Linked DNA regions of Rattus norvegicus. The main gene of each other region encodes a partner of the protein of the gene in region 2 in a complex. Each region holds a gene or a part of one and is shown on either strand. Other genes may lie near its edges. The genes, in order: Hmox1 and Por.

Region 1 (2,474 bases), on a different chromosome or scaffold from region 2:
AGTATCACTAACAGGCAGTGTGTCTTGTCTTGTCTTCAGCTGTTTGAGGAGCTGCAGGCACTGCTGACAGAGGAACACAAAGACCAGAGTCCCTCACAGACAGAGTTTCTTCGCCAGAGGCCTGCTAGCCTGGTTCAAGGTAAAGATGGCCTCTTGGCTTCTGCTCTCCTTAGCCCAGCTGGAATTTCTTTACTCTTCTCCATTCTGAACGTTTTAAATTAGAGATAGGGTGCAGACAAAAGAGCCCAGGGTAAGTCTGTAGTATGACTGTGGGTAAGCTATAAGACTTTTCTACCTTAGTTTCTCCACATTAGAAAATCAGGAGGTTGGGGGCTGTGTAGCTCGTTGGCTGAGGGGCATATAAAGCCCTCAGAAGTCACTGGCACAGAGATCCTCTCATTTAGATCCCGCCTCCCACTTCTTTTCCCCCAAGGCAGAGCCATGCTGCATGACCCAGGCTGGTCTCAAACCCTGGGAGTCAAACAATCCTCCTGCTTCAATCTTTCATAAAAATCTAGGGTGTGTTTACCTTTTGAGGCCCACTCAAGGCTCCCATGCAGGCCCCATATGAGGCAAGGATTTGGGAAGCTATTTCTAGCGCTGACCCTCCAGGAGACACGACGGAGTTCATGTAATTACTGGAGTGTCAGCCCTTTTCCTGTGCCTTGATACACTACCCTTGGAGCAGGAGTAAGGGTTCTTAAAAAGACCAAAGTGGCAGAAAATGTGCCTTCCCTGAGCCTATCACCCCTGGGACAGTATGGCCCAGGGAGTGGGTGACTGAAACTGAGCAGGGCAGGTTACGTGAAGCTTGATTGCTTGAATGGGCCCACCTTTTGCCCAAGGCTCTCCCAAGGGAGGCAGGACCCGCCACCTTGTCATTAGTGGTACTGTTTCTGGTGGGCTGAAATATGGTCAGTGCTGATAGAATTAGTTACCTGTTTGGGTCTGGAGTCTTTGACCTGCTGCGGCCTGGCGGAGCACAGGAGGAACAGCGTGGGGGAGTTGGTGAGCTCCTATCTTTGAAGGTGTTTAAGCAGTGGCTAGTGGTTCAAGCTGTAGCAGAATCCTGGCCTTGGACTGGAACTGTAGCAGACACGGCACCGAGTGTCCTCTGCTCTGTGCAGTGTCATCCACCCCAGGCTGTGTGTTTGACCTTGTCTGTGTTTCTCCTACAGATACTACCTCTGCAGAGACGCCCCGAGGAAAATCCCAGATCAGCACTAGTTCATCCCAGACACCGCTCCTGCGATGGGTCCTCACACTCAGTTTCCTGTTGGCGACCGTGGCAGTGGGAATTTATGCCATGTAAATGCAGTGTTGGCCCCCAGAGGCTGTGAACTCTGTCTCATGTAGCCTTCTCTCTGCAGGGGAGAATCTTGCCTGGCTCTCTTTTCTTGGGCCTCTAAGAAAGCTTTTGGGGTTCCTCGCCCCCTTCCTGTGTCTTCCTTTGTCTCTCTGGAATGGAAGGAGATGCCTGGCACATTTCCCTCACCAAAAGCACAGCCAGGGGCCTGAACTTGGAAACCAGCAGCCCCAAATCCTGCAACAGAGCCCCAGAACTGTGGTCGGTAGAGGCGGCTGTTCTGAGCCCAGTGCCCTTGGTAGTCGGCGTCCATGTTGACTGACCATGACTGCTTTCCCCCAGCGTCATGGCCACTTTGATATCAGTGTGCAGAGATTTTCTGTCTTGTGTTTCTGTCTTGTTTTTGTTATTTCCCCAGTTCTACCAGTGTAATGGTATTTTTTGTTGTATCGATTGTTTTTTTATTCTAACCAAGTAGGGCTGTCTTTTGAGGGGTGGGTGGTATTTAATAATTGTAACCTTGGTCTCTAACTTCTGTGTGAAATAATAAATGGCATTATCTAATAATCACCGGAAGTTCGTTCATGTCTCTGCCGTCCACGAACAGGGCCCTGCTCCTCCTGTCTCTTCAGTGTCTGGCAGGAGGAGGGCAGGTGGTGGTGGCATCAGTAGCTTTGACGGTCCACTGTGTCTGAGAGTTGGAAGTGAGCTTCAAGCATTTGGGCAGATCTTATTGACTGTGGGTGTGGGGGTATGTGTTTGTGTGTACGCAGATACTTGTGTGTGTGTGTGTTTGTGTGTACGCAGATGCTTGTGTGTGTGTGTGCATGTGGAGGCCAGAGATCAACCTCAGGTGTGTTTTAGAAACGGTCCACCTTGGTTTTATTTTAGTTAGACAAGATCTCACTAGGGAAGCCCTGGTTGGAGGAACTCACTATGAAGACCAGCTGGCCTTGAGCTCACAGATGTCTTCCTGCCTCTGCCTTCATGCTGGGATTATATATGTATGCTACCACACCTGACCAGTCCACCTTGTTTTCTGTGGGGAGACAGATGGTGTGTGTGTTGAGACAGGGTCTCTCTTACGTAGTCCTGACAGGCCTGGAACTTGCTATGTAGACAAGGCCAGCCTTGAACTCACTGAGATCCTCCTACCTCTGCCTCCCAA
Region 2 (4,505 bases):
TGAGGCAACTCACAGGCTAGTTCCTGCTTTTAAACATGGGGAAAAGGCCAGATATGGTAGAGCATGTTTCTAAGGAGTTCAAGGCCTGTCTTTTGTGCTACAAAAGGCTTGGTCTTGAATAGGAAAATAAAGCTATAATATATGAATGAATGATTATGTATTAATTAATAAATATAGAGAATGGTTTCTGAGAGAACTTGCTCACTGGTCCAAGAGGAATTTGTAGCAGAATTGCCTTCTTTTCTTCCTCCTCTTCTTCCTCTTACCCTTCCTCTTTCTCTTCTTCCTTTTTCTCCTCTTCCTCATTCTCTTCCTCCTCCTCTTCCTCTTCCTCCTCCTCTTCCTCCTCCTGCTCTTCTTCAGAGACAGTGTCTCACTATGTATGCAGCCTTGATTGGCCTAGAGTGCTCTATGTAGACCAGGCTGGCCCTGAACACTTAGAGATCCACCTGGTTCTGCCTCCCCAAGGCTGGGCCATGGCAGAATGTTAACAACTTATTTTAAATGCATTTATTTATTTGTGCATGTGCAAGGGGCACGCATGTGCCAGAAGACAATCAGAGGGAATCAGTTCTCTTCTTCCTTGTTTGTCCTGGGCATAGACCGAGCCAGGCTGAACGGCAAGCCCCTTTACTCAGAGAGCCATCTTGATGACTCAAGAACGTTTACTAATAATAGTAATAGCCATAAAGATAAAGCTGTTTAGAACAAAGGTTCTGCCCCCCAGACCTTATGCTCCTGTTACCCCAAACCTCCCGGGGGTTAGAGGTGGGATTATAACTCCAATACAACCGACTCTTTTCTTCTTTTGATTTTTTTTTTTTTTTGAGAGTTACTCGTAAGTAGCTAAGGCTGGCCTCAGACTCAGTACTTGAGGCTTATTCTCCTGTTTCAATCTTCCGAGCGTTGGGATGGAGAGGCATCAAGCATGACTGCTGGTAGCCAGATTTCCAAATACTATTGCCTTCGCCTTTCCCCTAGCCACTTCTCTTCCTTAAACAGGTTAGTTTTCAAATCTCAGTGGGTACCCCCGGGGACCAGCGGTGCCTCTATGGGCCTCACCATTTTCAGCTGACAAAAGACATGAGATCACAGGTGAGCTGAGGCCAGCAGCAGGTCGAAACACGAGGTGGCGCACAGCCACGACCCAGCATTGACCCAAGAGACCAAGCTAGGCTGCCAAGGGGCAAGGCAGGGTCACGCAAGCACAAACGTCGGTCAGAGCTGTGCAGGCGGGTAGCCAAAACTAGGATCCAAGCCCAGGAATGGGCGGAGCTTCTTTGAGAGGAGAGGGGGGCGTGGCCCAGAATCGGTGCTAGGCTTGGGGGCGGGGCTTCTCTGAGGAGAGAAGAGGGGCGTGGCCTAGAAACTGAGCATCTGAACTGGGCGCCGCCGGGCTGCGAGGCGTGCCTTTTCCGTGGAGCGGATGAAGGGCGTGACCTAGGAACTGAGAGCTGGGCTTAGGGGCGGGGCCCACCAGGGCTGTACCAACAGCAGGGATTTAGAAGGGGAGCAAAAGAAAGAGGGCCTGCCTCAAGAGCGCGCGCGCGGCTTTTGTGGGCGGGACCTCGGCGGTGTTAGCCACGCCTCACCCCCGCAGCCTTCTGGTCGGTGGTAGCGCCTCAGTGGTGCGGGCTTGCGTCCGGCCCCACTGCCTCAGAGACCTACAGGACCGCGGGCCGTGGGTGATCTGGTCGGTACCGGAGAGCGCAGGGTAAGTGAGGAATGGGAGACCTCAGGGGAGCTCCGCGATACCGGGTCACCTCTTGTCGCTAAGACTATCCGGTTTGTGACTCCCGGGAGGGTTTTTGGGCCGATCTCCGCGCGACTCACCCTTGCGGAAGGCGAGACTTCGCACCTCGGCCCTTCTCCCGTGGTGGCGTTTCCCACCACGACCTAACCTGTCGCGGGGCGTATAGAGGGTCGTTCTCCCCATAACTGCCTTCATCTGAGGGTCGGATCTTTGCATCTGCGGCCAAAGATTCGGTCCTCAGGACTCCTGTCAGGCAAAGCAACATTCCCTCTTCAAGCCTCAGTTTCCCCACCTGTGCGACGGGACTTTTGGGCAGCAGATTACGAAGACCACTCACTTTAGAATGAGCTCCATGAGGGCGAATAGGACCCGGAACAATCAGGTGGACTCAGTGGAGGTGTCACCCTGCGTGCATCCCTGAGGCAGTCCCCCTCCTGGGACAGTGCCTACGACACACCTTTGTCCCGTTCGCTTGAGCAGCAGTGACAAGCTGAGCTCTTGGGAGCCACTGGGTGAGAGGTTGTGGTCTGCTGAGCAGCAGGAGCAGGGCATCTTCCAGGGAACTTAACCTGGATTGGCTTTTTCCTTCTATCTCATTTTCTTTTCTCAAGACGATTCAGCATTGTGTAAGCTAGTGACCGGACCGGGACAGAGGATTTCAGGGACATTTCAGTGAAAGTGATGTGTGTTTGCTATGGACCCATCCAACTAAGTGGTTCGCTCTGAACCTGACCATGCTGCCGGAATAATGAAAACACAAAGGGAGACTCAACTGGTGGGGGTGGCCCTGAGTTCGAGTTTTACCACCTTGGCAGAACACATAAGTTCTTTGAGCCTCTGGTCTGTCAGCTTCCCGACCCTTAGGGGTGTGTGTGTGTGTGTGTGTGTGTGTGTGTGTGTGTGTGTGTGTGAGACAAGGTTTTGTATGGAGCCTAGGCTGGCCTGTACCTTTTTTTTTTGTAGCCCTTGAACAGATTGATTCTGTCTCAGCCTCCTGAGTACAGAAATTGTAAGTGTGTGCCACCTGGCCTGACTAGGGTTGTGACATTTTGAGGACAAGAGATAATCCTGGAGCTGTTCCAGTACTTAGGAGGTTGAAGCAGGAGGATTGCTTGAGTTCAAGGTCAGCAAGTGCCAAGTCAGGGCTGCGTATTGAGACTACTATATCAGTAAAACTGAGGAGAGGAAAGAGGCTGTGATCCTGGCTAGTGGTATTGAGAACTGGGCTGGTCTTTGTAAGCCAAGTGGTTATCTAACCCTGGAGATTTGTTCTTATTACACAGGGCAGTAATTCCTGAAGCTGTCTGGAACTTTGGTTCATTAACCACACATAAACTCTTCCCTCACAGATCCCCCCTGAATGTTGATCTCTGACTTGGCTGCTAGTGGAAAAAACAGCTCAGAAAACCCAAATACTAAAACCAGTGAACACAGAATGGTCCACCTTGCTTTTGTTGTTATTCCAGTGGCTCCTTTAAGAAGTTCACATTTTCTTTGGAAAGTGAGTGGCTCTTAACTTTCATACCCTCTGATACTGGAATTGGTTTCATTGAACACGTTGCTCAATCATTGTCAGAAAGTGGCCAGAAAACAGGCCCACACTGGAGAGGATGGAATATTATCTTATTGCCCTCACATCTGGCATTTGAGAAAGGAAGAGGTAGGTGTAGACTATAGAAGATTCCAGAGATGGACTTTGGTACCTGGAAGTCACAGGCTTGTGGTAGCCAGGACGCCTCAAGTGAAGACATCCTGATAGTAGGAGTTTATAAATGAACATCCCCGAGAGATGTCTGTGGTCTGATAAACCTAAAATTGTAGGCCTGTTCATTCTGGGTGGTTAACTCCTTGAAAGTCAGGATCTTCATTCGTTAGGAAAGTCTCTGTGTACTTAGCAGAGAGTCTGTTTGAGAAGAACTTCCTCCCTGCCAGGAGCCAAACATTTACTTACTAAGTCCATGAGGCATTTCAACATTGCAATATTAACTCTGGTTGTTCTGAGATGAGGGTCTCAGGTGTCCCGGGCTGACCTTGAATTCCCAATCCTCCTGCCTCTGCCTCCTAAGTGCTAGGACTAGAGCCACCTGCATACAGAATCTAGTTCTTAGGGATGTCCCCTCTTTGTGAGAGCTAACCCAGTTGTCATCCTCTTTGTCATTGGAGAGGCCTGCTGTGTAAGCACTTGCCACATCAGGCCAGGCCTGTGGGCCTCATCTCAGTGAGATGTAACTTTCCTTAGTTTATTTCTTCATTGATTTTTATACGGGTACCTATTGTCTGTTGAGTACATTCCTTCATAGGCCCACCCTCGGGACTCTGTTCTTCCTTCTCCCCTTTACATTATAAACTTTGCTAGACATGTTGAACAACCCACTCAAGAGCTCCTCTCAAAAGAAGAAAACCAAAAAGATACAATCTCACAAAGCACCACAGAGTACACATACCATCTTGTATGTCTTACTACATATTTAATGTTTGTTTCTTTGTAAAAGAAACAGATAATTTGTATCTTAGAGACAGAAAATACCTTTTCATTGGGTTTTTTTGTTTGTTTTGTTTTTAATTTGTTTTTGTGACAAGGTCTTGCTAAGTAGCCCTGGCTGGCCCAGAACTACTTATAGAACCTAGTCTGGCCTCAAATCCTCCTTCCTCAGCCATGTGTTGGGTGTACAGGGGTAGGCTCCAGCTTGCCAGATCCTCACTCTCATTTCTTAGACATGCGCTATAGCGTAGAACTTGTCTTTCCATACAC

What was found.
Region 1: the proteins of Por (region 2) and Hmox1 are in contact, whole or in part, in a crystal structure (PDB 3WKT), measured with the Rattus norvegicus proteins. Residues at the interface, in NP_113764.1 of Rattus norvegicus: Thr88, Thr177, Asp208, Asp209, Arg313, Arg514, Lys515, Gln517, Arg519, Leu520, Phe522, Lys523, His626, Lys665, Met667, Thr668, Lys669, Gly670, Tyr672; in NP_036712.1 of Rattus norvegicus: Asp12, Ser14, Glu15, Gln38, Ala75, Pro76, Glu81, Lys149, Ile150, Lys153, Ser171, Asp173, Asn174, Thr176, Lys177, Phe178, Lys179, Gln180, Leu181, Arg183, Ala184, Arg185, Asn187, Thr188.

What each region holds. Positions count from the first base shown.
Region 1 is NC_086037.1:13,477,951-13,480,424, forward strand, and holds the end of Hmox1 (heme oxygenase 1), read left to right. Parts: intron 1-39; coding exon 40-139; intron 140-1,178; coding exon 1,179-1,312; 3' UTR 1,313-1,873; downstream 1,874-2,474.
Region 2 is NC_086030.1:26,632,958-26,637,462, reverse strand, and holds the start of Por (NADPH--cytochrome P450 reductase), read left to right. Parts: upstream 1-1,653; 5' UTR 1,654-1,714; intron 1,715-4,505. UniProt on the Homo sapiens protein: This enzyme is required for electron transfer from NADP to cytochrome P450 in microsomes. It can also provide electron transfer to heme oxygenase and cytochrome B5.